Callithrix jacchus: one gene and its partner. The protein of the gene in region 2 binds, or shares a complex with, the protein of the main gene of each other region. Links are inferred from orthologs where the notes say so. Each region holds a gene or a part of one and is shown on either strand. Other genes may lie near its edges.

Region 1 (5,075 bases), on a different chromosome or scaffold from region 2:
CGCCAATACACTCCCGCCATGTCCAATGACAGCCCTGCCTCCACGTCCTGCAATAGAGCGCAGGGCCTCTGAGGCCTGCAGATGCCTCTGTTCTGCCCCTCAGCATGCCACGGCCCCAGGTGTCCCTGCTCCCTGGGGCCAGACCCTCTGGATCACCTCCTCCTGGAGCCCAGCCTGCCTCCACAGAGGCTCCTCTCCCAGCCCCTGCTCCTGCCCAAGCCCGCCGTTTCCTCTACAGCGCTTTGCTTGGAGACCCAGCCTAAAGGCCACTGCCTCCTTCCTTCCTCCCTTTCCACCCCTTCCCCCCCCCCACCCCCAGCACTTCTTAGTGCCAGTGCTGCCTTCTTGGCTGGACCATCAGGCAGCTCTGCTCCACTGGAGGCTGTGGCTCTGGCACCCCATCGGGTGCCCACACAGGGTCTGGCCCACAGGAAGTGCCTGAAAGCGGGTCGACTTGGTGACGTTCTCTCCCCTCCTCCCAGCACCTGCGTGTCCCCAGGAACTCACACGGTGGGGATGTACTCTCCAGGGAAGGCGTTGGTGGTGTAGCTGATGAGAAGGCAGGTCTTGCCCACGGCCCTGAAAGACAGGAAGTGCAAGAGGGCGGCGATCATGGGCTCTGCTGGAGACATGGGGAGGTTTCTGCCCCATCCTCTGCGAAGACCTCAGCATCCACCCAGCCTAGCCCTCTGGGCCCTGTCTCCCTGTCTGAGACACCCCATGTCTGTGTTCTCACACCTGAGAGCCTGCAGGTCCTGTGCGTGTTTGTTAAAGTGGAGACTTCAGGGTCCAGCCCCAGAGATTCTGACCCACAGGTGTTCGCAGAGCTGGGAATCTGCATTTCCCACAGGTTTCTCCAGGGACCAGAGATGTCACACAGAGGGGGTACCCCACAAACTCAGGCCATGCCGAGGGGCCCCGACGCCTGGCCTGGGCTTCAAATCCCAGCTCAGTGGCATGACCCTGGACGAGTCACTTAACCTGCCTCTGCCTCAGTTTCTCCATCTAGAAAATCAGGATGAGCCCATCCCCATAGGAGTGTGCTGAGGAATAAATCCAACGATGCCTATCGAAGCACCTAGCACAGGGCCTGACGCACGGCAGCAGCCGGTGGCTGCTAGGGAAGGCCTGACCCAGCTCTTCCCTCTCACCTCCCCATGGAGCAGAGCAGTTACTAGACCAGGGTTTGAGTCAGAATGGGCTGGGTTCAAATCCTGTGAGGCTTTGGGCAAACTGCATAGCTTCCCTGAATTCATTTTCCCACCTGTAAAAACCTATTAGGTTTGGTGAGAGGACAAATAGAGAAGGCCGGGCTAACCCCAGAGCTGGTACCTAGGAAGGAAGGGATCGGTAATCGGAGAACGTCATTATTTGCGCACCTCCCCCACCCCCAGCATTTGAGACTGGGAGCAGGTGCAGGTAGCTCAGCCAAAGCCCGGAGACCAAGGGGCAGCTCTGGGCCTTCCCCTGCCCTGCTTGGTTCTGTCACTTCCTGCTCAGAGGAGACAGCTCATCCTCTCCTCTCTACCACAGTCCTCCCCGGGGCCTGTCCCGAGGTAACTTTGAATGACTGGGACGTTAACCCTTGACTTCCGCCTGCCCCTCTTCAGATCAGATAGAAAGCAGAAGTGAACAGGCCCGGGCCGGCGTGGGCAGATAAGCGGCCATGTATCAGAATCAGCTGAGGCTGGTGGGCAAACGGGCCCACCCCCACCTGGATGAGTCAGAGCCAAAGTGGGGGCCACAGGACCCAGGCCAGGACAGCTGAGTCTCTTACAGCCTTGGGCTGCTCCTCTGTAGCATGGGAGGGCTGGACAAGAGGCTCCTTCCAGCTAGAACATGCTGCGATGGACTTACAGAAAGCCCCAAGCTGGGCCTGTGGGTTGGACCCTAAGACATGGCTGCTGGCAGGCACGACAGATTGACAAACGGGACCTGTCCCTTTATTTTGTGTTTTTAAGAGACAGGTCTTGCTCTGTCACCCCGTGGCACAACTATAGCTCACTGCATCCTCAAACTCCTGGGCTCAGGCGATTCTCCCACCTTAGCTTCCCGATAGCTGGGACTACAGGCGCGTGCCACCACTCCTAGCTTTTAAAAATGTTTTTGTGGCCGGGCCTGGTGGCTCATGACTGTAATACCAGCACTTTGGGAGGCCAGGCAGGCAGATCACAAGGTCAGGAGTTCAAGACCAGCGCCTGAGCAACATGGTGAAACCCTGTCTCTACTAAAAATACAAAAGTTAGGGAGGTGTGGTGGCATACACCTGTAATCCCAGCTACTCAGAAGGCTGAGGCAGGAGAATCGCTTGAACCTGGGCAGCGGAGGCTACAGTAGCCAAGACTGCGCCACTGTACTCTAGCCTGAGTGACAGAGTGAGACCCCCCCCCCCCCGCCAAAAAGATAAAAAAAAGTTTCTGTAGACATGGGTTCTCATTGTGAATGCCTAGGCTGGTCTCAAGCAACTCTCCCCACTTGGCCTCTCAAAGCGCTAGGGCTAAAGGCATGAGCCACTGCACCTGGCCTAGACTCGTCATTTTACAGATGAGGAAACCGAGATTCCCCAGGAGACATGACAGCCTGGGGGTCACTGGGATCTGACAACTGAGAAGGTGTCAGCCCAGCCTGCCCCTCCCCTGCAGATCCCACAATCGCCCTCCCATCCTGCGGCCACCTCCTCCCTCTCCTCTCTGTCTCTCAACGTCCCCTTGCCCCTTCTGCTCCTCGCCCACATCCCCCACACATCCTCCCCAACCCAGCAGGCTGAGGGGAAGGGAGAGAGAGGGGGGGGTGGTACCAGCAGGGGGTGGTTATTGAGCACACATTACAAGCAAGACAGCCACTCAGCTTATGTCCAGCGACCCCACAGCATCCCTAGGGCATAGGCCTCCTCCTCCCAGATGGCTGAGGTTCAGAGACATGCTGTGACTTGCCCAAGGCCACACAGCAGCACCAAACCAGTGACGAGAGCCCAAGTCAGCCTGGGGACGAAGGCTGAATTTCTGGTTTCCCACTTCGCGGGTGCATCCACAGAGTTGAAGGCTGAGGCTCACCTCCGTGGGAGACCTGCCCCCAGCTTTGGGGGTGCAGGTAAGGGGCCTGGGCACTCCCAGCCATAGTCCTGCACCCTCCACCCAGATGGCTTCCAGGGTGGGTGGGCTGAAGAGGGTGAAGCTGTCCTCAGCCCACCCCGGGGTGCTAGCTGTGAGCCCTAGGAGAAGAATGAAGCGACTCCTCCAAGCTGCCTTCCAGGGACACCTAATTCTGCAGAGCCAGGGGCTTCCCCAGGGACACCAGGGCGGGAGGATCTCACAGCATCCCAGTTGGGGGCTGTGAGGAGGTCCAGCCAGGCACCTACCCATCTCCAACCACCACACACTTGATGGCTTGCATCGTGTCCGGGGCCTGGACAGTGTCAGTGGTGACAGCTCAGGGCCAGGCGCGTTTCTGCAGGCACAAGGGGTGTGGAGGCTGGCAAGGCGCCTGCTGAAGAGCAGCAGTGGTGGGGTGGGAGGAAGCGGAAGGGGAACTTACCCAAGCTGCTGCCCTCAAGGTCGTTTGCAGGGGGTGGAGCATTCGGTTTGGAGGAGCAGCTGGTGGGCGGGGCGCTCAGGTGCTGGCTGAGCCCTGGCCATCCCTGCAGCCCCCCACCTCCGGCCTCCCCTCTGTGGTAGGAGGCTCAATTTCTGACCACTGGGCAGGCCCAGAGGCTGTTCTCCAAGAACGTGAGGCTTCCAAGTACACCTCAGTTCTAAGCACAGCATTTAATGAGTGCCTACTGTGTGCCAGACATACTACCAGGTGCTAGTGATCCCAGGATACAAGAGACAGCTGGTCCCTGGAGTTTACACCCTTTGCAGAGGGGGAGGCAGGACTTCATCACGGGAGATTAGAAAGCAGGCAGGAAGTGACTGGGGCAATGGGGACTCTACAGAGAGGACCTCAGTGTTACCGAGAGGGAGAGCTGGGGGCCTGCAAGCAGCATTGGAGCTGGCTCTTGAAACATTTGCTCTAAAGAGGGTACTCCAGGTTCACGGAGATTTCTTGAGCCAGGACCCAGGGGCTCCGCCAGGGAAGGGCCTGTGTGGGAGGATGGGGAGTGATGAGGCAGGAAGGGAAGGTGTGGTCCACAGATGGAGAAAGGCATGTTGAGGGGAAGTGGCAGGCAGTGCCCTACAGGCACCAAGCCTGTCCTGAGGCCGCCCTGGGTCACCAGGCACTCTGGATCTAGGAACTGTGGCCCACTTCCCTGATGTGAAAACTGACGGTCTGAGAAGTCATTTGACCACCTAGCCTGAAACCACCCTGACGCTCAGTTTACTCCAAGCTCTTCTCCAACTGGAGCTCTTGGCTCCAGCTGCTGTTTGAGGGGACAAAGCCTGCATTCTCCAGCTCTCAGGGAACTCCCTTAGCCACGAGGGCTCTCCGAGGACACTCGGGAGAACATTCGATCACCCCTGTTGGCACCAAGTTCACTGATCGTCGTGATCACTCCCCAACCCCACGCCTTTCCAGGTCCAGGGGGAAGGGACAGAGGCAGGGAGAGGAAGAGCCACTGGTCATCCACCCTGGACCGTCCCTCAGGACAAGCCAGGAATCCCACAGGAGTGTGCAGAGGGCCAGGGCCCGCTGGCTGGCAGAGCCCAGGATTCTCAGCAGGCTCCTGGAGGCCGAGCCCTTTCAGAGCAGTTCACACAAGTTACTGCGTTCACAACACTGATTTTTACAGAGAGGAAAACACAACTTCCTAAAGCGCCTGCCCAGCACCGGGCAAGTCAACTGTGACACTTACCAGCAAACCAGTGTCTCTCCAACGCGCTTTGCATACGCTGTGCTGAGACCTTGGGTGGGAGACGCCAGGCGTTCCCTGTGGCCACCCTGGGGCTTCCTCCTTCACTGCCCCTTTATTTTTCCACCCACTGCTAGTCCCTAGGGCAACCTCCGTGTTAATTTAAAAAACAAAAGGATAACGTATTAAATGCAGTGCGGTACCCCAAATTAGAACCTGGAACAGATTTTGGGAGGCCGAGGAGGGTGGATCACAAGGTCAAGAGATCGAGACCATCCTGGTCAAC
Region 2 (4,552 bases):
TATCTCTAAGAGAATATTTATCACAGCCTGCTTTAGACTACCTGGGCTCCAATCTCAGCTGGGCCACTTACCAGCCGGGTTGCTTAGGCTACATATTTTAACATTTTAGCTCTAAATTTCTTGTCTACAATTGTTATCCCCAAGAAATGGTGATAGCGAAAGATCTATACATTTTGGGGATTAAAAGAAATATCTCACGTCAAACCTGTAGCACAGACCCTTAATAGAAGTTATCTGTTACTTTCATTGTATTAGAATGTTTGAAGGCAATACCCATGTATCTTTCCTGATTGTTTATTTCCCGCAGTACCTGAGATAGGTCCTTATACATAGTAGGCAACAAATAAATGATTGTGGGCTTAAATAAAAACTTATTATACTATAACAAACCTTTTCAACCAATTAATCATTAACTGGTCTTGTTTGGAGGTTTGTGTAATTGACTAGTGATTAAACCATAAGGGTCATCTTTGCAGATTTTCTGGATCCTACCAGTGCTCTCAACATGTTTTATACTAAGGATACTCAGACTTCGGTGTTTTTTTCAAGCTTGCTATAAATAACTGCACTATGAATAACAATTACATGTGTGCATGAAACAAAAATGCCAATGTTGAGTGGTTTCTACCAAACTGACTTCTGCTGTCCCCTCACATTCCCTTAGCAGACAGGCTAACCACACACAGGCAAGGAGGTCACTGTGCCTCTAATAGAGCATCGTGCCTAGACATTGAGGGACATGAAATCTTTGACTACAGAGTTTAAACACTCACTCAGCTCCATGGATGGCAAGGCCAATGAAGAAGATCACAAAGAGATGATGTGTGTACCAAAAGACTTCAAAGTAAGACCTCCGGATGGTTTTGGTGGAGGAGGTGATAATTAATATGAGGCACAGTGTGATGACAACTCCAGTGATGCCCGCCAAGAGGGTCACAGCCAGGTACAGGCCTCCTTCAGGGTTCTGTAAAATATAAACAGACACACACACACACACACACACACAAACACACATTATTATAGGTTCTCAAATCTCAAACGCAGGACTATTATATAGTGTCCAATGTATAGAACAATAGGTATTTCCACTCCCTCTTTGAATAATCCTCATCATCCCTCACAGAGAGATATAGACTTGAAATAGATGTTTCTAAATTTTAAAGTGTCTTACATGGTTAAGGTGTCATAGGAAATGTGAATTGATATACTTAAATAGTTATTTATTAGGGGGTATCAAATAAAGGAACTCAATCAACTATAAGATGTCCTAAAAGTTTCTGAAGGCTCTTTCTGCCTTTGATTTTGAAAAGGTGATAGTGCTTAGTTTGCAAATATATTCTAGGAATGCCAAATATCATCAGCTGTGTTCCCCAGAAGCAGATCTTAAGATGAGACTTCATGGGTAAGTGACTTAGAAAAGATGTGGTCCAAAAGAAACTGGTAAGAGAGTGGGGAATAAGATAGAAAAGACAAGCAAGTCAAGCAAGGAGGTGAAATCAGGCAGTCTCCCAGGGAATAGCTTCAACCTGACCCTGCAAGGGAACTCTGGAGGGTAAGTTACAAATCAGAGTTTATCCTGACTCAAGGCAGGGAAGCCAGGCATTTATAGTCTGCATCCACCAGTTATTGGCTAAGGATTGCATAGGAACAGGCAACTATTCAGTCCCCCCAGCCCCCACCTTCCAAGGTCTCTGAGCCTGTAAGCAAGGGGACTCTAATAGCCCCTGGGCAGTCCTCTGAGGAAGAAACACAGTTACAGGTTATTGAAAATGGAAACATTTAGAAGAGTGGGAGAACATAGATACAGTAAAAGTGATCCAGAACATGATAGCGGAGGCTTACCTAGTTATGTTCCCATTGCCACCCTCATGTATCATTGGGCAAACAATAAACAATTTAAAAGAAATATTACCCAATATATTGTAGAAAAAAATCTGGTTTTTATTATGCTTAATTCCGTGTTTAATTCTGTGCCTAGGTATATCAGACAAGTTTTTCTCATATCAGTCTGTGGACAATTTTACTTTTCAAAACTAAGGATTTTTTTTTTTTTTTTGAGACAGAGTTTCGCACTTGTTACCCAGGCTGGAGTGCAATGGTGCGATCAACCTCCACCTCCTGGGTTCAGGCAATTCTCCTGCCTCAGCCTCCTGAGTAGCTGGGATTACAGGCGCGCGCCACCATGCCCAGCTAATTTTTTGTATATTTTTTAGTAGAGACGGGGTTTCACCATGTTGACCAGGATGGTCTCTATCTCTTGACCTTGTGATCCACCCACCTCGGCCTCCCAAAGTGCTGGGATTACAGGCTTGAGCCACCGCGCCCGGCCAAAACTAAGGATGTTTTCTAAACACAAGAAAACATTTTTGGAATTCAGTGCATATTAATGTGATTTAGTCATCTTCCCAAGTCACTGGGTGCATGAAGACTTGGAGCTTTTGTCTCTGAGTGTAGGAAGCTTTGACAGCTGCTGGGATGGAAGAAGTTCTTCTAGATACCCTCTTGGCTGCTTCTAGAGAACTGCTGAGTTACTCCCAGTGTACCTATGCTTCTCAAGGAATGACAATTAACAGACATAGGCCATCCCTCAGATATTGTTTGTAAGAAAAGACAAAGGAATCACTGACAACTGTCAGCTGGTGGCTGGCCTTACACTAATACTTAGGCCAGGATGTTCGCTACTTCACATAAATAATTTCATAAAACACCAACATCAGATGAGGTCACTCTGTGACTGTGATAGAGTGAGATAAAAACAAAATCTCTCCAAAATCATGTCTGATCCTAGACAATGACTACTGCTTCTTTTCCTATTATAGATTTAGTCCTATTCTGTTCCCGCTGCCTCCTAAGAAAAATAATTAAGATACCTAATCTGAGAACTACCCCAAATTCCTGACCATAACTGATCCAGAGAAAATTCTTGCATTCTTAAATTTTCCCCTAAACCATCTAACAGAATCCTAAATCTTATAACATGTTCTACTTTACATCCCCTTGAGATGCCCAGAGTTCCTCAAGGTGTTAGATTTCTTTTGCTGTAGCAAGTAATAAACCAAACCTTGTTCGACTGTGTTCGCAGCTTTCTCTGACTGGTGGGCATAGTCACAGGTAAGCCTGAGTTACTCCAGGCCTCACATGCGCACATTCTCATGGATGAGCTTAAAGACCTGGAAAACATCTAGAGACCTCCACACATGGGATGAGGAGTGTGAGAGACATTTTTTTCTATACTCCCATTCTTATAACCTACAGACTTGTCCCTCTGATGGTTAGCCAACTTTTTTTTCTCGGCAAAGTAGAGGTCTTCACTCACTGAAATCTAATCCTCAGTAATAATGACATAGAGAATATCTGAATCAGATAATGAGAGGCTTACCTTGATTCTCTTTCGAGCAAAGTTGAGATAAGTTTCATTTGGCCTGTCTCCAAGTTCAGAGAGTGCTATTGAATAAGGATCAGAATTGTTGACTCGGGCATTCACACACCATTCCACATTAAATAGATGTGCAATGGTGTGAATTGCTGAAAAGGGCAGAGAAGAGAAACAAAGAGAGTGAAGAGTATGCACAAATTTATTGTAAGCTGGGTTTCTGGGACAGCCTCTGACTCTACAATAAGCCACAGGGAGACAAAGGGAGGCCTAGGAAACTTATAAACAGGAACTAGGTCTCCAGAACCAGGGAGACAAGGCAATTCTAGTGGGTAAGCTCCTCTCTAGTTGTGTAATTGTGGGAAAATGACTTAACTCTCTGGTCTTGGTTTACTAATTTGTAAGATGAAGATGTTGAGCTATATGCTCTTAAAGGCCCAACCAAGTTATAAGATTCTACAGAATAGTCTTAGTTTCTGAAGGTGTTTAGATATGCTTTCATTATCTCTCTGCATAATATATTTGGGCTCAATCAAGAAAATTCTCATGGAATGAATGCCTAATTGCTGGCCCATTAACCTGACTCTGAAATTACCTCCAGAGAGGGATGACAAATTAGACTGAATTAATACAAATCTATGGCCATAAGGTAGGAATCTCTCTTTTAAAAATTGCATTGTTTATTAATAAACACTTACATAGGGCTCACTAGATGCCAAGTACTTTTAAAAGTGCTTCACAATGACTTAATCCTTACATTGACCCAGTGATATAGGTACTATTAGCATAGGCTCATCTTACAGATGAGGAAACTGGGACATAGACTGCTTTAAAACCTTGATTAAGGTCATCAAGCTAGGAAGCAGCAGAATTATGAATCAAATCCAGTACATTTGGCACACAAATCTGTGCTCTTAATCTGTACACTATGTTAGTTTCTAACAAGATTTTAACATACATTTCTTTTGAACTATTTATTTGCCACTGCTCAAAAAGCCTACCAGATCTACTAGTAGAAGAGAAAGTCAGTTAAATGCCTGCAATCGAAGCCTATTTTACTCAGGCTAGGAACAGACTCTTTAAGGGCAGAGTACAAGTCTGCTTTATCATTGTGCTTATCTGTTCTCTGGCACATGAATTGTTTGTTGAGTTAAGGACTCCAGATACATCCCTTCTTGC

Evidence for each region. Proteins that work in one complex are often made in the same cells at the same time.
Region 1: CYBB (region 2) and RAC2 share a complex: the UniProt entries of both Homo sapiens proteins name them as parts of the phagocyte NADPH oxidase complex. The link is inferred for Callithrix jacchus from reciprocal best matches to the Homo sapiens genes CYBB and RAC2.

Annotation. Positions count from the first base shown.
Region 1 is NC_133502.1:208,154,647-208,159,721, forward strand, and holds the start of RAC2 (ras-related C3 botulinum toxin substrate 2), read right to left. Parts: upstream 3,505-5,075; 5' UTR 3,394-3,504; coding exon 3,359-3,393; intron 580-3,358; coding exon 508-579; intron 1-507. UniProt on the Homo sapiens protein: Plasma membrane-associated small GTPase which cycles between an active GTP-bound and inactive GDP-bound state.
Region 2 is NC_133524.1:38,573,578-38,578,129, reverse strand, and holds part of CYBB (NADPH oxidase 2), read right to left. Parts: intron 3,526-4,552; coding exon 3,380-3,525; intron 965-3,379; coding exon 774-964; intron 1-773. UniProt on the Homo sapiens protein: Catalytic subunit of the phagocyte NADPH oxidase complex that mediates the transfer of electrons from cytosolic NADPH to O2 to produce the superoxide anion (O2(-)).